3 linked regions of the Mytilus edulis genome follow. The protein of the gene in region 2 binds, or shares a complex with, the protein of the main gene of each other region. Links are inferred from orthologs where the notes say so. Each region holds a gene or a part of one and is shown on either strand. Other genes may lie near its edges.

The links.
Region 1: DNA polymerase alpha subunit B-like (region 2) and DNA polymerase alpha catalytic subunit-like share a complex: the UniProt entries of both Drosophila melanogaster proteins name them as parts of the alpha DNA polymerase complex. The link is inferred for Mytilus edulis from reciprocal best matches to the Drosophila melanogaster genes PolA2 and PolA1.
Region 3: DNA polymerase alpha subunit B-like (region 2) and DNA primase large subunit-like share a complex: the UniProt entries of both Drosophila melanogaster proteins name them as parts of the alpha DNA polymerase complex. The link is inferred for Mytilus edulis from reciprocal best matches to the Drosophila melanogaster genes PolA2 and Prim2.

The regions. Positions count from the first base shown.
Region 1 is NC_092346.1:76,909,364-76,920,767, forward strand, and holds the start of DNA polymerase alpha catalytic subunit-like, read right to left. Parts: upstream 4,126-11,404; 5' UTR 4,080-4,125; coding exon 4,019-4,079; intron 1-4,018. UniProt on the Drosophila melanogaster protein: Catalytic subunit of the DNA polymerase alpha complex (also known as the alpha DNA polymerase-primase complex) which plays an essential role in the initiation of DNA synthesis.
Region 2 is NC_092346.1:69,959,873-69,970,618, reverse strand, and holds the start of DNA polymerase alpha subunit B-like, read right to left. Parts: upstream 5,308-10,746; 5' UTR 5,246-5,307; coding exon 5,161-5,245; intron 1,425-5,160; coding exon 1,300-1,424; intron 1-1,299. Other genes in the region: uncharacterized protein, read left to right, coding at 5,482-5,643, 7,778-7,982, 8,582-8,748, 10,313-10,610. UniProt on the Drosophila melanogaster protein: Accessory subunit of the DNA polymerase alpha complex (also known as the alpha DNA polymerase-primase complex) which plays an essential role in the initiation of DNA synthesis.
Region 3 is NC_092344.1:119,329,476-119,340,485, forward strand, and holds the start of DNA primase large subunit-like, read right to left. Parts: upstream 5,011-11,010; 5' UTR 4,947-5,010; coding exon 4,790-4,946; intron 1,990-4,789; coding exon 1,877-1,989; intron 1,516-1,876; coding exon 1,436-1,515; intron 1,195-1,435; coding exon 1,074-1,194; intron 577-1,073; coding exon 484-576; intron 185-483; coding exon 47-184; intron 1-46. Other genes in the region: probable lysosomal cobalamin transporter, read left to right, coding at 5,116-5,175, 7,578-7,754, 8,043-8,106, 8,601-8,701, 9,208-9,275, 10,329-10,417. UniProt on the Drosophila melanogaster protein: Regulatory subunit of the DNA primase complex and component of the DNA polymerase alpha complex (also known as the alpha DNA polymerase-primase complex) which play an essential role in the initiation of DNA synthesis.

The sequences.
Region 1 (11,404 bases), about 6.9 Mb from region 2:
TTTTGTTGTGCGAAAATATCATATCTCAAAAGAAAAAAAAGATGGCACTAGCAGCTGAGATTATAAAAGGTACAGTTTTGTCAATTTTTTGTCTAATATATTATGTATAGCTTAGAAATAATGAAAAGCTTTGAAAATACAATATAGGTGCAGAAATTTTTGCTCGCCTTGGTAATTGATTGGTTAGAAGATACGATATTTTTGCATACATTGGAACATAAATATTTAATTCTAAATAATCGATAAAAAAAATCAGTTTTTATTGCCTGGTGTAAAATTATGAAAACCTTAGATACGAGGTTTTTGCATAACAGCGACGATATATTTACACAAAATTTTCGTTTTGTTTTATTCCCTTATCCATTTGAAAAAGAGCCATGTATGGTCAAGTAATCGTAAAATACGGGCTTATAATGAATCCCTTGATAACAGGGATGCTTCTTTCAAGCAATACAGGTTCGACAGTTCGGTTTTAAACGCAAAAAAAATAATGATATAATCGTAGATGGTTCAAAAAATGGTCGAGACAACGTTGTCAGAGAAGGGGGTTAAACTTCCCTTATATAATTTAGAAATGAACTTTTCAGTACCCGAGACATGTATTATATGTCTCTGTTAGCACTGTCCATTCCTTTCATACGTTTCGGCATCTTTATAAAGCGAAAAAATGTAGTAGTGTTCTGTTAACCTTACGACGTTTAACTTGGCTTCACCCAAGCTGGACATCGAGAAAGTGAATTTCTCAAGTCTAGTATCAGCTTGGGGTTTGTTTTTCTAATTATATCCTCTTAATTGTTTTCAAAGGGTAAAATTCATTACTGTAGAATTGCTGATTAAACAGGTATTAGTTCGATTGGGTGATAATTAATACTTCAAAGACTAGCTCATTGAAGCCAATTTGATCGTTGTTAAAATCAGTGTTTGTTCAAAGTTCGTTAAACAAGTTTGTGAATGTCGTTGGGAAATGCGGTCAATTTATTTCTTCTCATTTCATTCATATATGCCTCTATATATTCATTAAATAGATGTCAATGTTGAAATCTTTGTTTATTTTGATCTCTCAACGACGCCATTTTGTAAAATTTATTAGACAGGTCCCGCGGAGTTACTTTAATACAACGGAAGTAATTCTTTCAAAAATCGTTAACCAGTCAATCACGTGATCCGAAAAGAAAAATAAGCGGGAAATTTTAAAAAATACGAAAAAAAAATATAGCGACGCGGTTGAACAGGATAGCGACGCGGTCAGTGCAATAGGACAGCGGGAAATTGAAATAGCGCTGAAAATCGCGGCGCTAAAACGGCCTGGGGAGAACACTGAACACAAATTTGATTCAAGTTAAAAGAGGGGTGAAAGATACCAGAGGGACATTCAAATTCATAGAAAAAATAGACTGACAATGCCATGGCTAAAAAAGACAAACATTTTAACAAAACTGCGGAATTCCCTCTGTGACGTGTTTCTAAATATATAAAAACACAAAATATAAATACTGCTTAATTCTGATTTTCCGTGTTGAAAAAACGTGCATATGAAAAAAGGGCAATATCGAAACACTTAGATCATGTGAAGAAAATTATAGGAAAGTTGTTTAAATTCAATCCATTTGTTTGTTTTTACCTTTTAAAGCAAGAAAATCTTAAGAATCTGAGATGTTCCTTAATATTTAGAGTTAAACGGTTGACGGTTAAACGTATCCCAAAAATGAAATCAATTGTATTGATTGACATGGACAATGGATATATGCAACAACAATAGGCATTTACTGTGGACCTGAGTGGACTGTAGTCTTCATGATATACTTTAAAAGGCCATGGCTGAATAATTTTGAGTTTTACAAAAATATAACATAAGATTAAATTCTCTGAGTACAGACAAAATTGTGTAATTTGAAAAGTGTGAAGCCTGTCAACACCAAGTTATATACAAGTTGTTTTCATTTTGTATTAAAAAGACAACAAATAAATAACTTTGTGGAGGTTAGCTAAACATGTTCTATCCTTCCTTCAGGTGGTGTAAAAATAAACAAAGTATGGTGAAATCTTGGAGGTGAGTGGACTGCATCAATTATATAATCAACTAAAAGGCAGTGTCACAGGTATGAATAGCAAAATTGCCGTTCATAGGCTATGTGTACCGACATCTGGTATCATAAAAACAAGAATGTGTCCACAGTACACGGATGCCCCACTCGCACTATCATTTTCTATGTTTAGTGGACCGTGAAATTGGAATAAATTCTCTAATTTGGTATTAAAATTAGAATGATCTTATCAAAGGGAACATGTATACTAAGTTTCAAGTTGATTGGACTTCAACTTCATCAAAAACTACCTTGACCAAAAACTTTAACCTGAAGCGGGACAGACGGACGAACAAATGGACGAACAGACGGACGGACGGACGAACGGACGCACAGACCAGAAAACATAATGCCCCTCTACTATCGTAGGTAGGGCATAAAAATGCCATCTGATCAGGAATGAAACATGAAATATAAACGGAAATTATCAATAATATGGGGATTTCGTGTAAAAAGAGATAAGTATGAGAAATTATATTTTCAAAATGTAAGTATTTAATAATAATATATAATAAACATTGAAAATAAAATGCACACTGATGAAGAATGAAACTGTACAGTCCCTGTAAAAAGAAAAAAACTGATAAAAATTAATACTATTATAAAATGTAAATGCAAATTTAAAGAATTGAATTTTACTGAATTTATAAAAATACCCATATGAGATTTAAAAATAATCTTTTAGTAAAATGTAAAACAGAAGATGATCAAATAAACATTTTGCTTCCCTGGCAATCAGGTTTTGTCCATCTTTAGTCACTCCAAGTTTAAAGTGGAAAGGACATTCCATTTGAAATGTACTAAAAGTAGGCATATCCTTTATACTAAGAACGGTTTAAAATAGGAAAACTAGAAGTATTCGACATAAAAAAAACTTGACCCGAGACTACTATAACACATAGTAGTCTCAGACTTGACTAATGAATGAAACACGGCAAATTCGATTTAAAACTACACTTTAAAACAAATACCTTGAATGAGGCCTTTTTTCTATCAAATTTGTTTTGATTTTTTGCCTCCATGAATACACAAAAAATGTATTCTGTTAAACTTCATTAAAATTAATCGGCTGTTCTAATAGACGTATTTACACTTGAATGCAAATTTGTCCGCCATTACGTAGAATCACACAGGTTCCCGTAAACTTTGACATAACAATTAAAAAAATTTGACGTCACAATAAAAAAGTAATTGTTGCATGACGTCAAAAGGTTATTCCAAGGCGTTTCATTCCCGATCTGATGGCATTTCATTATAAAACCGGATGTGGGTATGCATAGCCTACGAACGGCAATTTTACTATTTGTACCCGCATGCAGGTACACGCAGACACTGCAGGGCTGCCAAGTCGCATGCATCTAGGGTGAGACTCACGCATGCTTATGCTTTTAAACATCCTATTTTGGCGGCATTTTTCCCTTGGATCTTTTGTTTTTTCTCTTTGATCTTTTCATTTTTGGCCAAATCTCACGCATTTGCTTCATGAAAAGTTGGCAGAACTGACACTACCCAATTAAAACTCAAGTGTTTGTTTATTTCACCATCTTCTATGACAAGAAAAGAAAAATGTTCATCAAAATCCATAAAGCTTAATAACTTTTCAAAACATAAATTAAACATTGATGCAAAATTTATTGATCTAGATGCTGCCAGGCTTTTTAACTTTTAAATTGCTCAGTTTTGTCTGTACATAGACATTCATAGAGATAATTGTATGGTGTTAATACAGTCATTTTTGTAAAAGTATGTTGATGAACCTTAATGTTATTTTGTTATGCTATAATTTTGTATTTGATCTCAGATAATCTCGCTCATTCAGTCATTGTCAAACAACTGTTGATGGCATCTTGAAATGGTTGGATTCAGTCTCACTCAGTCTCATTTCTCATGTTATCGTGTTTATCAAACAGATCCTTATTTGCATGTTAGTTTACCATAATCATCGTTATTATCATTGTCATTTTCATTTCCAGGCGGATCAACAGCTGGCGCCATTTTTGTACTTGGCGGGAAATGGAGTGCGTAATAGACAAAACCAATTTCGAATAAGACTGAGTATTTCCGTGTGTTCTTTGTCTAGATCGTTTTTCAAGTTAATAAACTATGAAGCTGAACAAATCTGCCGGTGGTGATATGATAAAGTGGCACTAACTACGAGATATATATAAAAAATCTAATAATTTTTTTTTCTCAATCATTTATGACATGCAAATAGTGAAATAATTATTCGCTTTTATTAGCCCGTATGGTTCAATTTTGTGTGTGATTGGGATGGGCACTGGCTGGGCGAGGCTGGGTTTAATAAGCTAAAAAAAAAACATCGATTAAGAATTATTCACTTGCAAGTGAATAATTCGACCCAATAAAATAATGAAGTCACTGATTCAATTGCCAATTGAATCAGTGACTTCATTATTATTTTACATCTCTGAAATGTATGTATCAACAGGGACATATTGTATGTCTGGTATCAGCAACTATATTGGAATTCAAAGTTTTCACTCAGAAGAATCAATATTTATATGATAATGGATCATAATGTATACATGGAATTGAAACTTGAAATGTTATGATATTAAGACAAATTGTAGAACGTATTTGCAGATTATATGTGCTTTCTATACAAATGTTCACTGACCAATTCAAAAAAAAAACGTATATAAAAGAGGGTGGTAAAAATTATTTTCGTGCAACGTGATCGCCTTTTTTTATTTCACGTTCAACGTGTTTTTACCTCAGTTTTTATTTCAAATTGACGTTCAGTCGTGCAAGACGGGTGCCTCTTTCAACGTGTTCTTCTTATTTAATTTTACGTGCATCGTGATTTTCAAAGTCTTATTTTGCGTGCTCGGTATTTTTCAAATAAAATTCAAACACTTGGCAGGGATCGTCAAGAAATACTTTTTTAAAAGCCGTAAACCAATAATATCATAAATGTGTATACTAAATCGGGAATATCAAGTAAAACAAAGAGTTAATATATACAAGAAGACAGTGACTCAGTCACAAAAGGTTCAAATAAAAGTATTTATTTTTCGTGCAACGTTCATTACAGAAATTATTTCACGTTCAACGTGAAATTATGTCTTATTTCAAGCCAGTTTTTTTCGCGCAAGGACCCCCTTTACCACCCTCATAAAAGAGATAAATGCATATTTATTTTCGATTTTAGTTATAATTTAACGAGCTAAATTTGCATATAAAATCTGTGGCATAGCCCCTTTACTGTATCTTGACCTTTATGTTTTTACCAACTATTGATTTAAAAAGTAATAAAAATGTTTTGCATTTCGAGATTTATTTTCGTGATATTTTTGAAAGATTTAGTGGTGATATTTGTTCTCTTGAATTTATCTAGTTCCTCTGTCCAAATTTAAAAAGTTAAAATGACTGTACTAAGACAAAAGAAAACTGAAGTGAAGACAAGCTCGTGAGTCACTCGAATTGAACCTATATATTTTCGTTATCCTTCGTTATCCTTCGTTTTAACTAGACACAAGTTACCGTTCTGTATTTATTATGTAGATGCATCCTTATATGCCATATGTTCCCAGAAATTTAATTTTTAAAATAAGAATATAAGAAAACTTGTAAAACTTCCGCTACTATTTTTCCTGGTGCAATTTTGGAACTGGGGTGTTTTAGTTTTCTGTTAAATCTGACAAATATTTGTTTTTCACATGTGCTTGAATGATAATTATTTATAAATCGAATGATCATATATCGACTGGTATTTCTTTTGTTCGTGTCCCAACAAACAAAATTTATTTGAATAAAACATTTTTAATCAGTGATTATTTAGATCAAACTCCTGTTTTGGCAACCATTGTGGCATTTGAATATAGGTTTCATTTGTTTATTTATATAATGGACGAATTAAGATTAAACTGGTCTGTAATTAGATTTTAAGTTTTTTCGTCTCTTTTTTTTTTTATTATAGTGGAATTAGATGATGGTCTAGACATTTCTAGACGGGATCCTTTATTTCTGTATTCTTTAATATCTAAATGTTTACCCTTTTTGAATTCATTTCTTTATTTTCAATATTCTCTATTTTTTTATATTTTAACACCCCATTAATTTCTATTCGTTATCAATTTTTCTTTTTTTTTCTTTCTTTTTTCGCAATTCGGCAATGCGTGCCCTTTATTTCTTAGTCGGTTGGCTATAAAGACCGGAGTTCTGAAGCAAAAGTGTCTCATAATTCAGTCATGGCTGGATACCGATATTTTAACTTCCATTAAAATTTTATTTGTATTTTTATACTAATGTTATGATGTATGATATTGTTCTGTATTGGTATGTGACACTATAATAAAATATTCTGTCTGCCTGTCTGTAAACCCCACTCAAACCCACAGTCCACTTACATGTACATCTCTCCAATTTTGCGGAACTTAAGTTCAGTGATGTTTGATATAGGTCTGTTAGAATGGAAGCAAGTTGGTCTGCTTTCAGTGATTTTCAGTATAAAAGATGTTATTAAGTTTTTATCCCGTATTTACATTTTGATAAAAATTTCCATATGGACTATTTTTTACCTGATCAAATCAAATATGTAATAGAAAATATACCTTCATGTGCTACTTTTTGAGTTAAATGAGGTCGAAATTTTGTATATTTGCTCAAAATTCGGATTTGTGGCCGTATTTTCCGTTTCGAACGAAAGACATAACTTTTTTGTTTTTAAAAGATAAACACAAATTGTGTTTTGTTAAGGTCAAGGATCAGTAAATGAACTAGTCCATAGATTTTTTTAAAATTTACAACTCAATTAGATATTGAAAATATACATCTGAAAATGTAAAAAAAAGTATAGGTCACCGACTTCGTTTTCGAGAAAAAGCCATTTTTTAAATGGTCCGAGAGTGTACCAAATTACATTGAATATATAGGGAAAATCAGTTTATTTTCTTCTACAATTTTCGGTTTCCGGTATAAATCAAGTGAACCACTCCATAGAAATATTTGTACATTTTTTATTCAGAAATAACTCATATTTATCAAATGTTCATGAATGTAAAAAAAACATCATCAGTTTTTGCTGTATATTTATCAAATTTTAAAAAAAATGCACCGTGGCTATTTACGTTTTCATGAAAATTGGTACACATAATCGTCTCGCGTAATTAAACCAAATGGCATTTTAAAAAAGAGGGTCCATGAACTCATTTTCAAGTTAAATAAGTTTGAATGATAAAAATCAGTCGAAATCTGAATCTTTTCCCGATAAGTCATGATAGTTTGACGTCGCGAAAATAAGGACTAGTGCTTTATGAGGTTTAACATTTTCCAACCTTTTGTGGACTCCGTTTATAATGATTATGCTAATTTTGATATCTTTCATGGTGGAAACAAGTGACTTCTCCCTTTAATTTGGAAGTTAAAAAAACAAATTTCTTTTGTAAAAACTGACTTTTAAAAATTTAAAAAGAGAGGCGAACGGTACAAAAGGGACATTAAAATTTGAACTCATAAGTCGAAAATAAACTAAAGTTTCACGCCATGGATAAAAAAAAAAAGACAAACAAACCGGCAACACGGTACACAAAACGCAACATAGAAAACTAAATACTGAGCAACACGAACTCCATCAAAACAGTCTGGATGTGATCTCATTTGCTCCGGACGGGTAAGCAGAGCCTGCGCCACATGTTGCACCCGCCAGGTGTTGCTCATGCAAATTAAAATATATAAAACTCTGTAATAAGTCTAATTCGGTATGTCAGATTCGGCAAAAAGGGAACGGGATAGTTAGTACCTCTCTACTAGGAAAATCTTGTTTATTTGCTTCCTTGTGAGTAATTCCCTCTAGCAATTAAATCGAGATAGGCCTTGAAATACGGCAATCGAACAAAAAGTCACAGGACAGAAAGTCACAAATTTAAAAAGGACAAAAAAATCACAAATACATGTAGTTTATATATAATTGTTTAGATATATCTAATCGGAAGTTTTTGAAATATTTTCTTTTCATCACGTCAAGGATTTGTATATACTTGATCACGTATATTTATTTAACAGTTAACTTTAAGAAAATTGGTGGTTAAACTTGACTCGTACACAAAGATTACAGAGGCATATTTAGCGAAAAATCCATGGGTACCAGTCCCCCTTTTTGGTTGGTTATTGAGGGAATCATTAAAAATGTTTGGGTCTGCTTTGAGACTTTTCAAATTTTAGTTAAACAAAGGATAAATATTTCTTGCGGCACCATGATACCAAGTCACTTTGACACAGTGTCAGTTTATTTTAACAATCATTCGATTATATAAATGGATTTTTTTAAATATATTTTGTTTCCAAAGTTGTTTTATATATAATAGTTCAAGGAAAGATAAAATAAAATTTTATTCAAAGAAAAATAACCTGCGACTTTCTGTCCGTATATTCAGGACTGTCTCCGTCTACGGTTTATATTTTTATAATCAGCAAAATTGATGACGTGGAACACAAATGCACAGACGAAAAAGTAAACAGATGATTTTCAAGACAAGTCGTATTTTATTATAGATATTGTTGCGTCATTGTAAAAAGACAACCCGTAAAGGTACTGAATATTCAAACTGTTTCAATTCATTTGAAAGATTAGCGTGTTTGTTCAAAATGCAGGTATTTAAAAACCTAATATTGAGCTCGGCTAAAGTTAAACTGTGAAAACGTACATTGATGATAGTCTAGTCATAGTCAAAGTCCATATGTTATATATTATAAATAGCTTTTTAAATACTGATTATAAATCATCAAAGTCATTATGTAACGAGTTTCTTGTAATTTCAACGTTATTTAATTTATTGAACCCATTCATGAATGAATAGTTCAGTGGCGGATCAAGACATTTTTAATACTGGGCCTGGGGGCCCATTGACTGCCTAAGAGGGGTCCCACTCCAGTCATGCTTTAGTGATTCCCTATATTATCAACCAAATTTTTTTAACAAAGAAGGGGGGGGCTACAAAATAATTGCAAAGGAACCTGTTTATTGTATCACAATCAATAACATTTTTATAACAATTTAAGGATTCTAATTTAATAAACAGCAATTTATTTTTATAGCAATTAACAGATTGATTGGTTACTTTTGTCTTTGAATTAAAAATATTCAAAACAAAAAGACATTAACCGCATAGGATCATACATTGTACAAAGAAGAGCAGGTAGATTTGTTTTTAAAGACTATAGACGTACTAGTAGTGTTACCTCCATGATGAAGGACCTTGGATGGAAACCTCTTGTGGAAAGAAGACTAGAACAATGACTGGTACTACTGTACAAAATAGTGAATGACCTGGTAGCCATCCCTACGGAACATCACATGGAATTTAATACTAGACCATCCAGAACTTCTAACGTCAAACAAATAAAACTTTTATCAGCAAATACTGACATTTATAAACATTAATTTTTTCCACAAACTATCATTGATTGGAACTTACTACCAAATACTGCCGTGAACTGTAAAACTGTGGAAAGTTTAAAGGCAGTTATATCGCACATCAGTGGTGCTCATCAGTGGCGCACACACACACTTCCTGTATAAGTTTTACTCAGTATTTTGAGTTCATTTCCAGTATTATACAGATACAGCCAGAATCAATCATTAAAGAGAAATTTAATGCTTGTTTTCAAAATTATGACAAGAAAATAATTTAAAAATTAACAAATTGCATTTTTATACAACCGCGAAAATTTTGCAGTCATATATTGGAATCACATCGTCGGTGTCAGCATCGTCCGAAGACGGATGGTTTCCGGATAATAACTTTAGAATAAGTTAATAGAATTCAATAAAATTTTAACACAATGTTTATTACCACATAAAGAAGCTTGGGATTGATTTTGGGGGTTATGATCCCTTTGGTTCAGGAATTAAGGGCCCAAAGGGACCCAAAACATACATTTATCTAGTTTCAGGACAATAAGATGTGTATAAGTATTTCAATTACTCTGAAATTGTACCACAATGTTCATACCATTAAGTAGAAGGTTAGGATTCATTTTAAGGGTTATGGGGCAAACAGTTTAGGAATTAAGGGTCAAAAAGGGGCCAAAACAAGCATTTTTGAAGTTTGGGGACAATAACTTATGTTTAACTGTATAGATCTCTCTGACATTGTACCACAAGGTTCCATATAATGAAGGGATGTCAGTTTGGGGTTAATATCCCTGAACATTTAGGAATAAGGGGCAAAAAATTGGCCAAATAGAAGCATTTTTCTAGTTTACAGACAATAACTTGTGTTTAAGTGTACGGATCTCTCTGAAATTATACTACAAGGTTTCTTACTACAAAGGAAAGGCTGGAATTGAATTTTTGGGTTCTTGCTTCAAGGGGGGTTTCAATTCGAGAGGGGCCAAAAAAGTGGCCCAAATAAGCATTTTTGTAGTTTACAGTCAATAACTTGTGTTTAAGTGTATAAATCTCTCTGAAATTATATCACGAGTTTCCATACTGCAAAGGGATGGTTATAGGGGGTAATGGATCAAATCATTAAGCAATTACAATGTAGGGGCAAAAAAGGGGGGGACAAGGGTTTTTCTGGTTAAAGGACAATTTAGACAACTTAAAAGCAGTGTAAGGGAGGTAATCCAATTAAAATTAAAATTTAAAGAATACTGTTATATAGGTTTGATTACTTGATTACCTCCCTTACACTGCTTGAAAATTATTGTTAAAGGAATTGATTATTTAATAGTTATCCCATAAGGACGCAGTGTGTCAGTGTAAGATCATCCCGATGGCCGGAGGCCAGAGGGTGATCTTACACTGACACACCAAGTCCGAACGGGATAACTATTTTACATCCCAGCTGTTTTAGATGAGACGAAAAACCATTTGCAATTCATAAAATCTAGTTTAGAACGCCACACAACCATTATAATATACTTTATATATTACTATATGATGCATACCCATTATGACCCCCTAACACGATGAGTAGATATCAAACAATGTCAACTCGCCCCACTGGCCAATCGGCCCACACTATATCGCCACTTTATGAAAAAAATCGCCCCACTCTTGTAACCGACTCGCCCAACTTTATAAAAGTGTAAAATAAAACTGAACAATCAGTCTGACAACTAATTTATTTAACGAAAAGGGTTTAAACCCCACTGAGTAAAGGTCTGCCAACTCGCCCCAGTTATAAAATATCTTGCTTCCTTTAAGTATGTTAAATTTCTGATAGTTTGTATCCAGTCGTCCTGGTGAAGTGGTATGTGTCGTGGCTTGATATGCTAAAGGTCTTGAGTTCGAATCCCAGCATGGATTTTTTCTACGTGAATTTTGATAGATAGTCTTCTCCGTATAATTAATT
Region 2 (10,746 bases):
TAAAATTCTACTGAAAAAAGACTTCCATCCTTCATTCACAAATTTATGAGCAACTTTTGTGCTTTTTTTTTCATTTTCTTTCAGAAATTAGAAAAAAAATGTCATTGGTGAACTTGATTGAATTTTTAGTGAAACAAGCATTCTGTGAGTATTGGTCCGAGTACACAGTTATTTCGTAGTGCACTTCCTTTAGACAATAAATGGAAATAAAAAAAATCCCACCTGCGCTTTCTCCATAATATTTTTACAGTGTGTTGTACTACTTTTGGGACAAATTATATCAAAATTATAGAAAACTTCATCAGCTCTAACTCAAAATATGGACAATTTTATGTGAAGGGGGGCTTGAAATCTTTTGACAGCTTCCAAAATGTTAATTATTGACCTTTTTCAACTGGACCAAATCACTACTTTACATTATAATTCATGAATAAAATTTCTTTACAGTGTAATTTTATCCCCCTTCTTGCTACTTGAGGCATAAAACATAAATAAATAAATTTGGAAGGGGTATAAAAAAAATTGACAAGTAACACACTGTCCACAGTAGGGACTATATTCGTGGACAACGAAAATCGAAAATAACTGTGTACTCGGACCTATTGCTTGGCAATACATAGTCCACTTCCAGTTAAAATTCATTGTAATGGAACGAAATTCTAACTTGATCTATAACTTGTCGTGGTGTAAACTACATAAAATAACAAACTAACCTACATGTAGCACCAAATTCTTCACACAATTTACTAAAGAAAAGGAAAAAATCCAATATTTCATTATCTTAAAACAATGTCTTTCCAAAATTTTGAGTTATTTCCCTTTGAACAGAAATCTAATAATTTAAAAGTATTTCATTAAAAATTTAATTCTAGGAAAAGTTATAAAATGAGTTATTTCCCTTTAAACAGAAATCTAGTAATTAATAAATATTTCATCAAAAAATTTATTCTAGGGAAAAGACTAACTGAACAAGGAGAAAAGCTAAAATCCTGAAAATCGAACTTGACCTGTAACTTGTCATGATAACTCAATACACCAAATATCATATCAATATCTTCAAGCATGAAGAAAAAAAGTCTGAAAAAATGATTTGCCGGACTGACTGATGGACAGACAGACAAAATGCAAACCTTAAGTCCACTTCGACTTTATTGGTAGTGGACTAGTAAATCTAGAACAGATTATTGGATATCCTTATCATATATATATACAATGCATGAACTATCTTATTTTTAAGCAAAGTCAACATTTGTGATGTTCTTTTTACAATTTACAATTTCTATGTATAAAATGACTCACTTCTCTGTCTAATTGGTCTAGAGAATCTAATGTCATTTGTACACCTTTGTGTGTGCTGGCAAATGCTACCCATTCTGTAACTATCTTTTCTGCACCCAAATTGTACTGTACACACAATTCTTGTACTGAAATAAGACATCAATTCAATTCAAAACATATATAAATAACGAACAGTTGTATGTTAAATAATTAACAAAGTACATTGTACTTTTGAATACTGTAAACTTACTAATTATTGCAAGTGATTTATTTTCAGTACTTTCGCAAGTCAAAAACTATCGCAAATATAAATCTTCGTGAATATATAAACTTGAACATGTTTTTTTTAATTTAAAAGCATCCCTATAAATAGCAATATCAGGGGGAAAACTGGGAAAGTTAAAAATACTTAATTTAATTTTGATTTATATTTTGTTTATTGCTAGTGGCATGCTTTTTTTATGCATACAATGAAATCTTGATAAACCTTTTGAAAGCTCATTTCAACTTGTGACAATAGACCACTTTTGAGTTCATCTGTCACCGGAAAAAAACTTGTCAATTAGACACGCCTTTGTGACCTAATTTACCAGATAGAGGGGTGGCCTGTATCCCTGCACTACCAACATTCATCAAGCGTCATAGTGATCATCATTCTGCAGGATAAACTAGAAATAATGTTTGTTTTGTAAGTACTTAATCACAATTCCCTAATGACAGCAGAACTGATTGTCAAATCATGAAATGAGAATTAAGTTTGCCGAATAAAACATGCAATATAGTATTATACATTTTTTGTACATGTTATTTTCCAACCACTCGCTCAACATAGAAATTGAAGTGAGGATGCCCCTAAATGCATGAATGATGTTCACTAAAACCAGAGTTTTTGACGGAAATGCATGGAACTCGAAAGTTGTCTATTCTGATATCTGTGGAAATTTATTCATTATCAGAATTAAGGGACTTTATGTCAGGTAAAAAAATGTTTGTAATTCCAGTACTTTCAAAACATGTGTGGTTGTTTGATGTATTTTGTTGGAAAAACCTGTTTTCCATAAAACCTGTTTTCCATCATCAAACAAGCTGTAACTGCTTGTAAATAACTTGTAAATGATTTAAGTACACATCACAGTTGTGAAAATAAGTCTAAATCACACACAAAAAAGTAAGAAACTTAGTGTATGTTTAAACCGAAAGTTTGAATTATAATAAATCAGAATGGCACATGTAAAAGAAGAATCAAAGAACTGATAGCTCTGAGGTGGAAGAAGGTGAATAAAAGGAAACTTGAATTACCATAAAAGCAGCCCCACTAATCCAGCCTGCTTTGTTCCATTATCGTTATGACATAATTTTTTTTCTTCAAACAAGAATGTGTCATAAGTACATGGATTTCACATCCGTACAATCATTTTCTATGTTCAGTGGACTGTGAAAATTAGGTACATGTAAGTCTTTAATTTGGCAGTAAAATTAGATAGATCATATGATAAGAAACACATGTGTACTAAGTTTCAAGTTGATTGGATTTGGACTTCATCAAAAACTACCTCGACCATAAATTTTAACCTGAAGCAGGACAGATGGACAGACCAGAAAACATAATGCCCATGCCCTGTTTGCAGGATTCTAGTTATTAAATCGGTAGAAAAGATGAACATGTATTTAGCAGACCAGGGTTTATTTTCTTGTGCATGAATATTAGATGCTTGTTGAAATTTCCAATTTTGAATTATGCACAAAGATGGACCTTTGACAGATTGGGAACAACACTCCAAATGAGGGGTAACCCTCATTGGAAGAACAATACAACCCACTGTAAAAAATTAGCACCTTTATATTCATATTATTTGATGAAGAACTATGCATCTATCAAGTATTCATGTCAAAAGAATTTTGTGATGTTTCTAAACTTATATCTTCTTTATTAGTTTGACCCCTCATTTAGAAAATTGTTCCAAATATAATGAATTTTCCCACTTTTGAGTTAAAAATTTTCTTTCTTTTTTTTCAACAGTGAAATGACCCCTTGTTTTAGGTCCCTCATTTAAGGGACACCACTCATAATATGGGGGGAGGGGGGGGGAAGTCCCAACCTGTCTGTTGGTCTTTGTGAAAAAAGAATAGTATGTTGTCCTTTAAATGATTTAATTGAATACAAAAATAAAAATATGTTACAACAAGTATTATGTCAATAAACATGATAAATTAGTGAAAAACAAGAATGTGTCCATAGTACACGGATGCCCCACTCGCATTATCATTTTCTATGTTCAGTGGACCGTGAAATTGGGGTCAAAATAACAATTTGGAATTATAATTAGAAAGATCATATCATAGGGAACATGTGTACTAAGTTTCAAGTTGATGTAACTTTAACTTCATCAAAAACTACCTTGACCAAAAACTTTAACCTGAACTTCGCACTATCATTTTCTATGTTCAGTGGACCATGAAATTGGGGTCAAAACTATAATTTGGCATTAAGATTAGAAAGATCATATCATGGGGAAGATGTGTACTAAGTTTCAAGTTGATTGGATTTCAACTTCTTCAAAAACTACCTTGACCAAAAACTTTAACCTGAACTTCGCACTATCATTTTCTATGTTCAGTGGACCATGAAATTGGGGTCAAAACTATAATTTGGCATTAAAATTAGAAAGATCATATCATGGGGAAGATGTGTACTAAGTTTCAAGTTGATTGAACTTCAACTTCTTCAAAAACTACCTTGACCAAAAACTTTAACCTGAAGCAAACGGACGGACGCACAGAGGCACAGACCAGAAAACATAATGCCCCTCTACTATCGTAGGTGGGGCATAAAAATACTGTGTATTATCTTTATGTAGTACTGCATCATTGAATTTTGTCACTCAGCCATGCTTTTATTCTGAAGCTGTGTAAGAACCTGCTTGCAGATGAAAATTCACATGCCATATTCACGATTTAATAACTAGATGATAACAACACAAGTTCAAAATCTAGCATGTTAGAATAATCTTCAGAGACAACGTTTTTGATTGGCTTATTAATTGATCATGCGAAATACAGAATTTGAGTGGCTGAACACGATTGCTTTACCTTGGAAACTAAATAAGGAACAGATGATTTTCACTAAATCGTGTTTTAGAGTTTTTTAATGATAGGCCTCCCCTTAATATCAATAATTTTTAATTCTCAGATCTGCAGTGACATCACAACATGTAACTGACCAATCAATGATTAGCATTTTTGTTATGTAAACAATGTTGATAGGTGATGCGGATAAGATTCCTCTAGATTTTCCATAGACTTATTGCAAATTAATTTAATTGATATATATCATAACCAGTTGAATATAGTAATTTTACTCTTTTAATACTGTTAAAGACACTATATACTATCTCCATTTTGATTTTTAACATACTATAACCTCTGGTTAAAAAATAATCGGCAATTTAAATGATCAGTTATCCCCTTCAAATAGATGAAAAATCTAGAGGATTCCGGATTTCATCACCTCCTGACAAATGTAAATGCCAGGATGTCCGGATCTGAGAATAAATGCAAAGACGTATTATAAAACGTCCTTGATAAAAGTAAAGAGAATGAACACGTACTATACGGGCGAAAGAACTCAGGACGAACAGACCAAGGACAGGGCGAACATGTAAACAGGGCTTTACACATTCCAATTTATTTACATAGTTAAATTTAAAAATCTTAATGGTGTGCCTATTTGACTTAATTCCGAACTGTTTTTCTCGTGTCTCTTAACTTTTTTCGATGCCTAATTTTTGGGTACCGAAGTGTCTAAATTTTTTTGATAGCCAAATGTTAGTGGAAGTGGCTTAAAACTGGCAATACGTAGTTTCTATCATTTAAAACATTTACATTTTTCAACAATTTGAGGACTACTGAATTCTACACCGAATACACTAAATTCATCTTCTAATTCTTCTTCTGAAATGAAAGGCATTTTTAAGTGTTGAAATGTTTTGTTGACAAAATTGTCTTTCCCGCGATTTTTTTTTCACTTCCTGTGACTAGGAGTTTAGCCTCAAACAAAATTATTTGAATCAAAATTTTAATTTAAAGTACATAATACCAAGAAGATTGAAAATTAACATATTTTTTCATACTCTTTAGGCTTTGTATATCAAAATTCATTATGTTCATAAAGTTAATCTCTAAATTAGCGTCCTAGGTTTCAAGATGGACGACTGCAACTTGGATAAACTAGTCATAAAGCCCGGAAAATTGTCACCTGCGTTTCATAAAGACACAACAGAATATAATGTGACCCTAGCGAGCAATGTGGAAAAAATTCACGTTGACCCTCTCACCAGTGATACGGGTGCATCATATTGCATTTCTGTAAGAAATTATAAAAAAAAGTTTGGCCCTCTGCAGGCTCTGTATGTATGATATAACCAGACATGCCAGATGCAACTGCATGCCAGTGATGTCTGAAATGACGAATTATAATTATTAAATAACATTGCAAACTTGTACCAATGTCAATTCACACCACTTAAATCAAATTTGTATCACTGTCTGCAAACTCTTGCCATTTCAAACTCTCACCCAGTCCGGGAAAACTCCAACTTACAGATTATAACAAATAAAATTGCAAACATTATTTTTAAAACATTTGTATACTTTGTAAATTGTCATTGTATTTTTAATGTTACAAGCTCGCGATAGTACAAGCTCTCAGCATTTCTAGTTAACATTGGTGTTAGTTGACTTTTAGTAGTATGAGTTGACTAATTGTAGGATAGAGTTTGCAATGGTACTAAGATTTTAACATGATGGTGCCAATTTTACATGACAGCAACATAGTTGACATGCTGCCTGAACTAAATAGGGAAAAGATTTAACCTTACCCCAAAATTTTGCTTTTAAGTTTATTAAATTCTTTATAATGGGACAAAGTCCCCTATTACGGTTGTCCAAATAATTATGACATCTTGAAAGGCTATTATATTTTTTTCTTTGACCCCCTTACATCGACGCATGAAGGTGTCAAAGCAAAAATTTAAAATAGCCTTCCAAGACGTCATTATTAGAATCATATTCAAAACAGTGTAGCTGTGGCCATTGATTGACGACCTTAAATTATTCCATTGACTGGGACAGATTAGGTGAACGTGTGTCTGTAACGACAACTGCTCACCACTTACTTATTATAGAATTTAAACTGTGGGGTCACCAAAGGTTCTTAACGCCTTTAATATTATAATAATTCGAAAAATTAACCAGGAATAACTTTATGTTTTAATTCTTATTAATGATATAAATCAAAACATCGTGTTATTCCTGATTAGTTTTTCTAATTACTTTATTTAGGTGTTGAGAACCTTTTGTGGCCCCACAGTTTAAGTGTCTTTAACAAGTACATAGTGAGCAGCGGTTGTTACAGTCAAACGTTCACATAATCTGCCCCAGTCAATGGGAGAATTTAAGGTCGTTAATCAATGGCCACAGCTACACTGTTTTGAATATGATTCTATTTGGACTACTATTACGGTAGAAAAATCCACTAAAATAATAAAAATTGGGAAAATTCCCTAATTTTTCATTCTACTTGGCCAAGTTTACTTAAAACTTTACAATAGACTTCAGAGTTAATAGATTATCACATGAATGCACTCGAGTTGATATTCAGAACAACTCTAAGTAACTCTAGGGTAGAGGCCCTGACAAAGCATAGAAAATAAATATTCTCATTGGTTTGACGTCATTCAAGAGTTTCTCGAGTTTAACCTTGGCTTGGTGAGAGTTGGAACCAGAGTACGAGGGGTTAACTCGAGTGGTTCAAGTAAAATCGTATTGTTGAAACCCGAGTAAACTTGACAGTTTGAATTGTTTCAAGTGAACTTGGCCCTAATGAACTCAAAATCATTAACTTTATTATTATCCCACATCTGTGCAGAAATCTACTTCTTTTTTGAGTAAAATATATCTTTATTAGTCTAGTAAAATATAAGAAGGAACACTGTACATATCAATTTCATTTTTAGTAATTCTTTGATATGAAAAAATGTTACCTGATGATAGCATTTCTTTGTTTACATTGAATATGACGTCATAACATCACAACTAAACTCCTTAACGACAGAACCAAAATTTTACTTTTATTCTGTCATTTTGGTTTTTTATACGACCGCAATTTTTTTTTTAGGGGATTTATATTCAACAGCATCTATATATATAGTGTATTGCTCAAAAGCAAAAGATTTTTTTTCAAGTTCATCAGACCACATTCATTCTGTGTCAGAAACCTTTAAATTTGCTGTGTCAACTATTTAATCACAATCCAAATTCAGAGCTGTATCAAGCTTGAATGTTGTGTCCATACTTGCCCCAACTGTTCATGGTTCTACCTCTGCGGTCGTATAAAGCTGCACCCTGTGGATCATCTGGTTCTGTCTTGCAATTAAAATAATATTTTGATATCTAAATTGTACAGCGTTAACTGTTATTTTTGTTATTGATTTGTTGACAGGGAAGTGATGGTGGCAAGGATGTTCCTCTTAAAGAAGGTCAAATCACTGATATTAAGATAGAAGTCACTTCTGAAGATTGTACCATAAAGAATTATTTTATACATGCCAAAAGATTATCTGCAAAAGATGCTACATTGAGTGATCTAAAGTTATCAGATGGAGACTTATCACCAGAATTTTCTGACAATGTATTTGAATATTCTTGTAAGTAAAGTATTCAAATCTGCCTTTATTATATCCCAGAAAATTTGAAAATTATGTAATTGCTACACCAAAAAATTGATAACTATCCAGTATATTTTTTCAAGATTAGATAATATCCAGTATATTTTTTAAGATTAGATTTATGGTCAATTTGACATCTTATTTTGATTGTACCTTCATCATGTTCATAATCGTTGTTTTTAAAAAAAAAATATATATAAAAAAATTAAATAAACAAGTATGTAAGGGAATTCATGAAAAAATTAAAAGGAAAGACTCTTAGTTATATTTTTATCATGTAAGTAAATGGCACATGGATTCTTTTTGGCAGCCAACAAGTCAATCTCAAGATAAACTTTATTTGCCTACATGTACGTGTATACCATAAATTTTAGTATTGTAATTTCACCTAATGTATATATTGAATTAGTTGAGAAATAGCCTTGATAATGCTTCAGTTTCTTCACTTAAAACTGGAGATAAACCATATGAGTCATCTGTTATTTTTCTGAAAGTTGTTTGACGCTTACTGGAGTCACAATAGAAGCTGCATTTTAAAAAAAATAATTAGTTACTTCTTTATTTGTTGAATACTTTAGGTTTATTACCCTGCAATTCAGACAAGGTGACAGTAACACCAATTGCACCTGATCCCAAAAATGCAGTTCTTGTATGTAAAGAAAAACCAGGGACATCTACACCTCTTAATGTAGGGGAGACAAATCTCCAGATAGAAGTTACATCAGCTGATGGATCTAACAAACAGGTATACTAAAATTCTACCAAAAACCATTGACAATTATTTCATTGTTAACAAGTAAAAACTTTCAAGAGATATGTTTAAAGAAGAAAAAAACACTTTAAACCTAATGTTAAAATTACTGGATCATTTTGTTATGTTTAAATTCATGTACATTTTGTACTTGAAATTGTTAATGTTATCATTTGCTACATTATTCTTTGTGCTTAGGCCATTTTTAGAAAACAAAAAATGATAGGATTAATATCAAGCATGATGTTTTTGTGCTTGTTTTACCTTGCATTTACAAATGTTTAGAAAGACTGACAGTACATGATTTATGTCAGTCAGGATTCTACTTCGTCAAATTATCTCCCCATTAAGCCAGTTCATTTTCACTATCGTAGAAATGGAAGCCATTGTAGGGATGACGTGCTGCCAATTTTGCCCTTGAAAACCGATAAATTTATCCACATAGCACCATTAAGATCCTTATATGTCAGTTGTATTTTAAAGACAAATGTATCTACTAGCTAATAAGCATCAGTTAATGATTTTGTCTGCATTGATTCAACTCAAATCTATTGTCTGATCGATTGTCAGGTGGAATTTTCTAAAATTCATAAACATTTCAAAAAAATTCTAATTAAATATTTCTTGGAAGGGCAGACTAAAAAATTTCACTTGTTGGAAAATATAAACTCTAGTTATCACACACAAAAAAATCTTTTTTTTTTCTCGAAGATATGCATTTTCATCATCCAACTTAAAAGACTGTCGTCAAGTACTTTTAGTAACAAAAATTAGCTATTCGAACACACTTACTCTGTTTTTGTGATTCATTAGATAGGTATTTCACTTGTCCCATATATTTTATCTTTCAATACTGTGATTTTTTTATGTTATAAAGTCAACCTGTAGCTTTGATATATAAAAATGATAGAAAACTGAAGCGAGATGATATATAAAATATTCTTGCTTTGTATGTTTTCAAGACAAAATATTCAACTCAAACACACCCTAACATAAAAAGATGCACTAGATTTTCTCTTTTCTACACAATTGTTACCCATTTTTTGGAATTTTTTCTTGAGTCACATAACGAAAGGGCAGACACGAAAATTACTGAACTAATAGATTGATATGTTCTCCGTCTGTGGTAATTTAAAAAAAAAAAATTCGGAGGTTATGCATTTTCTACATCCAACTTGATAGATACTCATGTCGTCGACTTGATATCTAATTGTTCTGCTTAACTATGTAAAAGATAAATTGAAAACTTATGCAAATGGTGTTATAAATATGAAACACTTCGTAATTGAGAAGAAAATTGTCATTTTATTTGTTTCTATAAACTTTTAAAATTTGTGTTACTATAGTAAACATTACAGTAAGCATTTATCGCCTTCTCTAACAAAGAGCTTCGATTCTTTTGTTCTATTTCAACTAGGTTTTTGCCTGATGTCAATGGCTGTTGTCTGTAATATAAAATATTTGTACTAGTATACTCAATTTGAAAATTCAGATTCAATTCAATATTTCTACGTATATATTGTTTAGTTTCATACTATATTTTACTATATACACTCAGACTTACAGTTTAGATATTATAAGGAAGCCACTACCCAGATATGTCAAGATAACAGATGATAATTTAGCACAGCAATATGAATGTCCAATATCGCTGAGTTCTTTATACAGACCTATAACTATCAAAGCAAATGACGAAAAACATACATATTCAGCACCAAATATTGATGCATTTACTCGTACATCTAAAATTGACCCTCTTAGTGGAATACCATTGACTGGAGAATGGAGAATTGTGGATTATGATCTGGATAAGAAAATGGCAAATGCTCAGTCTTGCATTCCTCTTACATATGGAGGTATTTAGCATAATTTTATTAAGTAATTACAAAAAAAATCAGGATTTTGCAAAAAAAACATAAAACATAATTTCCTATTCAAATTGTACATGTATTTATAAATAAATGGTTTAACCACAAGTGTATAATGCAAAAT
Region 3 (11,010 bases), on a different chromosome or scaffold from region 2:
GGATCTTTGCAATCATCTTAAACTTAGCCTAACTAGTTTTACTTACAGCCAATGAGTGAGATAGATGACTTCTGTAATGTGTAATTACAATGGAAATCATATCATCTCTGGACACATAGGCATATCCATCCTCTAAATATACTTTTCTTTTACTGACCAAATCAAACACTTCTGTGAATGGCACCTGTAAAATAAAGTTATATCATTTCAGGCAACAATGGAATTGTAAAAATATCATTAATCTTATTTCTAATAGCAAATTTAAAGAAATATAAAAACCAGAATGGAAGATGGGACATGCAAAACTATTGAAGAATTCCACAAAAATTGTCAAATCAAACTGGCATTACAGAAACTATTTATCTACAATGTACACATAATGAAACACATTCTAACCAGCATGAAAGCTTCTGGACAAATAGACTAAAGCAAAGTAATTAGGCCACAGATATTACACACTGTTCGTAACTACTTTATACAAACCTTGAAATATTCGATTGTATCCACAACTCCTGATTTACTCCCTGCTGCTGCTCGAAGATCACCATCCAATTCTGTCTTTAAGTCATCACTAATCTATAATATTCAAGAATTCATAGTATGTGATTAAAACAAGATCAAAGATACAATACACACCTTTACTTTTCAATGAAATAACAGACAATTCAAATTTTATGATGTGTTTGTTTATTCCACATTTGCTAAAAGAATAGGGTAGGGTTGACATCTCACAAAGAATGTTTAACCATCCCACACTTTTGCACCTAACATTTGTTTGTTTTGTGTTTTTTAAACTTTTGGTGTGGCGTCAATTTTATCGAATTAGAAAACAAAATTGTTTAGGAACCAGCTAAAGCCAGAACCCGTTTGTTAGATTTTCCCGCTGAATTTTCTTTCTTCTACTTTTGTTTATTTGGTAACAGTGCGATGATATTTGGTTGATATGAACATAAATCAAACACACTACCCGTGATTTTGTCAAAATCTCACAAGCTGCAGTGGTTTTGGAGGAAGAAACTGGATGTTAATGTTGAAACTTTGGAAGGATAACAAAGAAAAAGTAAAATACATACGGGTTCATAATTCAGAGAGTTTTCTCTAAGGAATTCATCCCTGCTATCAGGTCCTTCTCTCAAGAAACGAAATCGAAACAAATCTAATTCCTGCTGCATAAACCATCTTCTTAATTCTTCTCTGAAAAAATAAAAGGCATCAGATAAAAAGGTAAAACAGTCTCACATATATAAAATAATTGACCACTTGTTAAAATCAACATGTACATTTAATACTGGTTATATTAGATATTGCTTCACAAATTTCGGAACTTTCCATTTCCTATACCAAACAAGCCATAACAAGATATCATAATGTCATTTTTTCTAAAATATAACTTTCAACTACCATCTACTTTACAATGACAGTCATAACAACTTACGATCTACAGTAAGCAAGCCTCAGAATAAAATGGGAGACTAAATCTTTCTGTCTGAAGTCTTTGTCCTCTTTCTTGTCCGTCTACAAATAAAATGTTATAAATTTACAGCAATTTGGAGGCATTATATTCAAAAGAAAACTTTATCAAGTATACATACAGCACACTTTGTCTTGAACATGTTGACTCAAAAATCTGCAGGTGTTATATTATCATCATATCAACAAGAGTTGTTTCCCCTTGAATAGAAGTTTGGTTGCATCAGTATATATTATATCAGTTTTAAGATAAAAGAGATTTGTATTTAAAGAGTTCTGATAAATATTTTACAAAGTATTATTAATACCAAGTGACTTGGCTTCATGTTCTTTAACTATTAACTGAGGACAATTCATTGTTTCAGCATACCTACTACATTTATGAAAATAGTGTATCCCTGCTTACCCGTATAAGATCATGTCCTAATGATGTTTTTCTCAGTTCATCTTGTAGCTTCTGAATGTATTCAGTGGAACCCTTCATGAGACGAATCCCAGCTACTTCAACAGCTTTCAATACTAAAATGAAATTTAACTCTATTAAACATTATGACAAAACATACCCAACAAACTGAAGCATATCAGATATTTCAGTTCAAACTAAAAAATCTCCCCTTTCAGCTTATGAATATCTGAGAGAAAAGTGTGCCCCTTTCTGAAGAACCTTGGACATTTAAGTGATCAAAATCAAAAATGAAACTATTGAAAGGGTGCTTAGGGTAGTGTGCACAATTTCAAATCAGGTGTGAACCAGACGGTGAACGAAAAAATATATATATAAAAGTATTATAAAATAAAATAAAATTCTTGTAGTTCCCAATACAGATTCACCCTTTTTTTTTATCCTTGATGTTCAAGTGATGACAACCTTGGTACAATAGGAGACTTGCAGTAATAATCTTAATCCTAAATGGCTGTATTTGAAGGTCTTTCTTTCTATGTTCAAACATACATTTGTAGGTATACAAAATGTTAAAGCCTCATAATTTTTCTTTGGTTTCTGCTCAAAATTATATAACACTAAAATGAATAAAGGTAACTATCATGAACTATAATTGCCCAAAAATAAGAATATTTTCAATTCAATTATTTAAATATATTATTTTGAGAAGAACTTTTTGGTTTTAATTTACACATTTTTCAATTTAAACTTCAAAGATTTTTGTATGGATCAATGGGCAGTTGATATTAAGTGTGTTTATTGAAGAATAGCATTTAAGTGGAGGTGATTCAATCAAACTTCAAATCTGTAAATAGATGAAGTTATATCCTCAATGACAATGAATGATTGGACGTTTGTTACACTTATATATGCAAACCAATAGAAAAAAATCCAACCTTGAACAAACAATTGATTTGATTGTTGGTTGTTTACCATCCAGTGTCAAATATTTCATGCATGTTCAGGACGATTGAACAAAAGAAAAAAGACCCAACAAAACCTTGGAGAAAATATTATTCACTGTGAATGTAATAATTTTTAATTATTTGCAAACAATCTTATACACTTAATTGATGAATAGCTTCAGAAATATAGTCAGTCTGTCAATAACATTGCTATGATTTCCCCGAGCTCAACGAAATGATTAGAGAGGAATAAAACAGTAATAGTGCAAACAGTTAAAAGAAATAATATGCAAGAACATTCACAACTTCCATTTTTTCATGCATGATGATATGAGTAAAATTGCAATAAAAAATATCTGATTAAGTTTTTTTGAAGTTGCCCATGATAAATGCTTTAGGCCATGGAAAAATAATTCATGGTTTCCCCTAACCCGACCGGGTCATTTAATTTTTCTGGAAAAAAAACCCAGAGATAACACAAAGTGTTTGAAATATACAAGATTAAAGTTCTGCTGTAGAAACAAAACATATAGATATAAAATTAAGCATGGTTACAAAAAAAAAAAAAGAGCCTGCCTACCGGGTCTTTAAAATTTTTCCATGTTAGGGGAAACCAACAATTAATTTTCCATGGCCTTAGCATGATATTACCAATAAAGTGGAAATCCCTAAGTGTCACAACTTTGCAATCTTAGACGATATGCGTTTTGAATATTTACTACGTCTACCATATTGTTATCCATATCTGTGTAAAGCATGAGAGTTCACGAAAATGGTCCTATCGGTCAAAATGAGGATATTATTTTTATTTCAGGATAAAATTGTCAGATTTTTAAGGACTGGCTAAAATTTTATAGGACTGACAAATAATCTTGCTTTGTCAGTCCCATGACCGACAGGTCAAAAAAAAGTTTTCGTGAACTCTGTGTAAAGACGCAGAAATTAAATTCCTGAGGTGAAATGGTACCATTATAAAGTAAATAATGACTAATATCTCATAAGTACATGTATCTACTTTAAAACCTATAAAGATTTCAGATAATATATCGGCTCTCAGGTCAATATTCAATAGGCCCCTTTACAGTTAGTTTGGCCATATTGAATATAGGCAGATTTTCATAATGCAGGTTTAAAAGGTCTGAAAAATTTGGGAAAACATCAATAAAACAGAGCAGTTTCTTAGAAACATGCATCATGTGCATAGGGTTTCCTGTATTATTATACAATTTCCACCTCTTTCAAATGATCTGACCCCTTCTCTACATGGCTATACTAACCGTGAAGGGGCCTATATGCCTTATTGCTTTTCCCAGGTGACCCAAGAATCTGTTCCGCTTGAACTATGGACAAATGATTGACGTCACACACCAATCACTTTTCAATTGTGGTGTCAGATATTTTGTATAATGACATCAACATTTAACGGGAACCTGTGTGATGTCCAGTAATGGCAAACAAATAGCGATAACATGCTGTGGCTGATCCAGAACTTTTCCTAAGGGGGGGGGGGGCTCCAGTCATGCTTCAATGATTCCCTATATAATCAACCAAATTTTTCCCACAAAAGGGGGGGCCAGGCCCCCAGGATCCGCCTATGAGATGTATTGTCGTATTGACTATACACCTTATCACTAATCCCGGCTGACCAGGCCGCTTGAACTTTTGACGCATACAACAAGCACTTTTCCATTGTGGCGTCAGATATTTTATATTATGACGTCAAAATTTTAAGGGAACCTGTGTGATTTTCAGTAATGGCGGACAAATAGCGATAAGGTGTATTGTTGGGGAGTTCTCGAATCATGAACTTCTCAGGAAATCGGTGTATCCAGATAAAAATTAGTCAGAAGTTATTGCTATATCATTTTTTCAGGATTTTTTTTTTCAATAACGTTATTTGTGAGTCATTAGGGAGAATTGCTTAGATTTTCATTGATTATCTTAATTGTAAATTTGGCTAATTTTAGGGCACCTTTTAATCTGTCAATTGCATATTCTTCAAACTCTTGCAGGGATATTTCCCCCGTTGGTGGTATTTTGTAGAACTGTAAATTATGACCAACGCGGTTGAACTGTTTCTTATTTCTTGCGGATCGTCCAGATTTTTTGCTGTTGCCTGCGAAATCCATTTTGTTGACTTTTTTGTTGTTTGCCTTTCCCGCTCAAAACAAATGTTTTCGGAACTTTCGGACTTTGTCGATTAAAAACTTTTTTACGTTCAACTGCATCTGTACGCTTACAAACAATGATAACTCTAGATAAAGCTTTACTTTGACGTTTAACGAAAACAAAAACAAAATGGTCAGCTTGAGTGGAGCACTTGCTGCTACTTGGGTTCCATTTGTAGTGATAATTATTGTAAGTATGTCATGTCATCTTTTATCCTGATCAGATTTTCACAGTAAAACTTTAATTCAGTTGAATGGCCCCTGTATTCACTGGTACTGACTACTGTGATTCAGTCTGTATTCATCATGTCCCTACAGCAAAACATAAATAAATTTATTAACTATAGAAATTGTCAAAAACATAAACACATTGATTTGTTTTTCATATGGGATCAAACCCTCTATATGGTGATTATACCTGTATAGAGGGATAATCCTTCTATAGAGGGGTAAATTTATCCCTCTATAGAGGGGTATTTTTGTTTAGACTAAAATCAAAATAGGGCAGAATGGCATTCTCTACTTATTATGGCAGTAACCTGGAATAGTTGATGCACCAATTGATGTACTTAATTTAATATGCACATCTTCTTCTTCTTCTTTAGGTTTTCAGTAGTCCTTCAATGATCTGAAGATTATTTACTGTTTGCGCGCGCAGCGTGGCCTATATATATATTTACAAAAACAAAAGGGCCAAAACAAAAACAAAAATACATGCCCAGTTTGATGCTTATCTGACTAAATATAAAAGCTATTGTTCACCATGATTGAAAGCTGTGATGATCAGGTAAATTCTACTCACTTATGCCTCACTGAACAGAATTTCTATTGTTAGATATAACATGAAATTCAAAGGTCAACTATTCCTTTTGTTGTTGATCAGGTGTTCAGATAGGTTTACAATAGATTGCAAGTTTTGTCACTTTAGCAGAAAACTGGTTATCCCAATTTTAAGTAAAGTGCATATGTTGATGCATATATATAATGCTAGAGATTATAGCCAATATAACTAGAAAATGCCATTCTGCCCTAATTTGCTTTAAATCCAGTGCAAACAAAAATACCCCTTTATAGATCCTTCTATAGAGGTATAATCACCATACAGGGGGTTTGTTCCCAACCTGACTAATGATGAGTAATGTAATTTTGTCATCTCGTATGTGTTTTTATCGGAAGCAAAAGACTCGCCCCACTTGTAAATAGCAGCAATAGACAACTTTCGAGTTCAATGCATTTCCATCAAAAACTCTGGTTTTAGTGAACATGTTTTAGTGAACATCATTCGTGCATTTAGGGGGATGGTCACTTCTGTTCCAATGTTGAGCGGGTGGTTGGAAAACTATTATACTATATATTGCACAAATTATTCGGCAAATTAAATTCTCATAATTAACAATCAGCACTGCTGTCAATAGGGAATAGTGATTAAGTACTTACAAAACAAACATTATTTCTAGTTTATACCATGCACAATGACAATCACTAAGACGCTTGATGAAGGTTAATAGTACAGGCGATCCCCTTTATCTGGTTAATGAAGTCATAAAGGCACGCTTAGTTGATGATTTTTTCCGGTGACAGATGAACTCTAAAAATGGTCTATTGGCATGATGAAGTTCATTGTGGTTTTTGTTGGCAGACCTTTATTCAGCATGTTCAGCAGGATTTTAACCCTTTTCTTCTGCTTCTTTGTATAAGTTTCTATAGAAAGGAACACCTCTAATGATATAAGAGTATAAGTGTAATTTTGTTTAGAATTATTTTTGGCTTTGTTTCAGACTATGTACAGCACTCAATGTAGATGGTTTGTAGAAAATTTTTATGAATGTAACTTTATAAGTTATATATACAGTTTTGGCTTTTATCATAATTAATATTATAAAGTTTAAACTTACAAACTTTTCGTAAGTGGGGTGAGTTGTCAGGACCTATTTTCAATGGGAGTTGTCGTCAAAAAAGAGTGTGGCTATTTTTTTAAAAGTGGGGCGAGTTGTCATGGATTCGTTGTTATCTCACTTGTACAATGTATTCACTCTTTTGTTTATTTATTGGTGTAAAAAAATTGGATAACTCTCTATGTCTGTTCCAAAAGGCCTCGAGAAAAAGACCCCTTTTTCATCTATTTCTACTATGACAATCTATGTGACCACCTGAGGCTGATCAATAAATTGATACACCTGATCTGAGATACAGCAGTTAATTGTATGTGTCATGTAACCTTCATAACCACATGACCTACATATATGCATGGGAAATCAAATTTTAATTCTAGTTGGTCACCCTCCCTTCAGTCGTACATACGGACATTATTTCTAGACTACTCTGCAGAATGACCATTCAAATAATGCTTCAAACTTTGATGGTGCATGGATACAGATGCACCTTCTATCTTGTAAATGATGTCATAAGGGCGTGTGTAATTGTTGAATTTTCCTTTGAAAGATATGATACAAGAAATTATTCAGATACTCTTGGAAGCACAAATTAAAAATTAAAAATTCTAAGAAAAATGAGATGACCTTGCTTTACAAATTACAGTTTATTTCTTTGAGTTTCATATCAAATTGTGCCAAGTTTTTTTTTATGTTTTAGCTTGCCTTGCTGTTTTCAGTAGTATATATTAAGTATTTTATGAGCAAGTATGATCCATCATTATCAACAACTATATCTGGGATTATCTCCCTTACCATTGCCCTGTTAACAGTATGTTTGGTACCAATAGATGTGTTTCTAGCCTCATTTATGAAGAACAGTGATGGCACTTTCAAGGTAAGACTAACAGCATGATAAACAATCTGTTTGTTTGCAGTTGTTCTTGTTTTATGTAATACATGCAAGAATGCCACTAGATATTTTGACTCTCGCACAAGTTTCTTAAAAGATGTATGGAGATTTATTTAAAGATCTAAAAAAAACCTACCACTTTAGGTAATGCTTCAGCGTTTTTGTGTCCCAAATAAAAATGGCATGTCGGATGTCTATGACTCATTACGGTTATTTGGAAGAACTTTGAATTATTCTGTTTAGACACTACTGATAAAGAATAAAACATTTTAGGAATGGGCAAATTCATCAGATACCAGAGACTCAGTAGAGAATACAGTAGCCATAGGATACTACAGTAAGTAGTTAATCTTGAAAGACATATTTTTTACTTATCTTATCTTATCTTACAGTTTTTTTATTTTCAATATCATTATGTGTGCAATCTAATTAATTCATGCCCTAAATTGATTGTACTGTGACCTTGCAATCTAAAACTTTAAAGTCAGCCTAATTTCTCTGACTTTTTGTTGAATTTTCCAAGATAATTTGTCATGACTTTCTGTTCAGTTTTCCAAGTTGCAGTGTTATTAAAGTTTCATGCTATAAGTGAACATTCATATAAAAAAGAAGATGTGGTATGATTGCCAATGAGACAACTGTCCACAAGAGACCAAAATGACACAGAAATTAACAACTATAGGTCACCGTACGGCCTTCAACAATTAGCAAAGCCCATACTGCATAGTCAGCTATAAAAGGCCCCGAAATGGCAATGTAAAACAATTCAAACAAGAAAACTAATGGCCTTATTTATATAATAAAATGAACGAAAAACAAATTTTATTTTAGCACTGTATGCACTGGTTACATTCTGTCTGTTCTTGCTGTTACCATTTATGTACTTCTTTTATGAAGAAAAAGATGAGTCGAATCCCACCTCCTGTAGATCTGTAAGTTTTATCTTATTTCTGTTATAACCATGTGTAATACACAAATATTGATATTGAATTGATGCATACATTTTGTAGTTAACAGGGATTTATCTTGATACATTTTGTAGTTAACAGGGATTTATCTTGATACATTTTGTAGTTAACAGGGATTTATCTTGATACATTTTGTAGTTAACAGGGATTTATCTTGATACATTTTGTAGTTAACAGGGATTTATCTTGATACATTAACAACACAGTAATCAATCAATCAATCTTAAATGCATTAATAAACGTAAGACTTATTTGTGAATCTAAAAATAAATTGCTTAGTAAATTATTATTTATGATATTTGTTATATATAAGAGACCTAATACCGGTACTCATCTCATAAATATCAGGGTTGACAAAATTTTCAACTTGATTTATTTGAGTGGAAGCATGAGTTGAAAAAATTATTATCCCATGCAATCATTGATTGATCATTCACTTTTTAAATTTGAAATTATGTTTGCTTTTACAGAAATTCTGCACAGCATCCAAGTACACAGTGGTGTTTCTGATTATAGCTGGTGTCCTGATGTTGATTGGGTAAGAATTATGAGGTTGATTTAAAGATATCAGCTTTTTCAGTTTAGTACAATAACTCCTCATTTGATAAGTGGATTGTCTGTAGTAAACAGAGTTACATACCATAACAGAAAGTCATAAAACTTTGCTCAGTGCTCGGAGCACAAAAATCTTGCTCGAAACATGAATCCAGCATTTTGATTGGTTGAATTTGGAGTACGAGTTAAAAAACTGACTCAAAAGTTTTATGATTTCAAGGCATATTAGATAATCAGTTTTGTAGTCTTTGTCTCTGACATAATGTAGTTTACAATTTATTTAAATAAGGGGCATTATATTTCCTGATCTTATTGTGTTAAATATTCAACAAACATTGAAAGTAGTACTTAAATATTAACTATTCTTGATTTGTTTAAAACCTCCTTACAGTCATTATAATCCTTCCAAAAAGGATTTTATACAGTTCCAACTTAATAGAAATGATTTCCAAATATCGATTTAGACGTTTTATAAGGATAATGATTATGCAGTGAGATAATAGTTGCAGGTTAATTTCTGCTGTGATTCCTTGTATAAAAAAAAGGGATCCAACTTTTGTTAATCAGGAATGTCCCCTGAACAAACTGAAGAGAAATTGAGAAGTAAATTTCCGGATCCCATGTCAGAATCTATCATAATAAGGGACAATACAGTCAAATCATACAATAACTGCCAATCATGCCTTAGTTCTTTAAAATCAGACTAAGTCAAAGATGAAGCTAGTAATATACATCCTTGGTCCCTTGCTGTTACACAGCAAAAGGTTGATTTTTATAGCGCTCAAAAGTGACTAAAGCCCTCAAAATCCTAGCTAAACCCTGAGGGTATAATATTTTTTCCTTACTTCTATTAGAAATGTCTTATTCTAAAAACTTCTGTTTCCACAAGGATTTTGAATAAAATCAATATGTAAACATAACTTGCTATCCAAATCGATTCATGTGTCAAAAATTATTGTCTGCTTACCAATTTTGAAAGTGCATTTTAAATGTCCAGTGCATAGTACTGAAAACTATTCTATATATGACATTTCAGAGGTCTGGTACCAACAAAGCCACAGCCCAATGGTAATTCCACCGAATGGGATAATGTGAAGAATCTGTTTATGCAGATGGGCACTAATGGTAATATATTGATTAGTTTAAAAAAAATACGTAAATTTTTGTACCACCAGATGTATGTCAACGAGTTACCAACCCAACTGCTTATAGAAATATTTGCAAGCAGACATCCAATATTTATAGAATAACTAATAGAAGAATTCAAATATAGAAAAATATTCAACGAGTGACCCAACAACACATTTATTCATGAATGCCTGCAGCGCATGAGTTAATTATCAGTGTTGTTTGGTTATGAGTTGAATATTTTTCGATATTTGAATATTTTGATTAGTTTTTCTTTTTATTACATTGGCAAATGGCTTTTTTTTTTAAATTAAAGTAGAAAATGCAAGGAACTATATCTTTTTCTACGCATTCACAATTTGTTTTGATCCAACGTTATATATGACTATTGTATGACGTCGGAGAAGTGAAATAACCACGTTTATTTCACATGTGAAATTATCGATTTTTATTTCACTGGGAAATCAATCTTTTCACAGTAATTCTGTAATATGTGAAAAGTTTGAAGTGAGTTAATGATGTTGAATATTAGCTTTAACATGAACTTTTATTAGATGGAAGTAGTTTTTAAAAGATATTTATCTTGATGT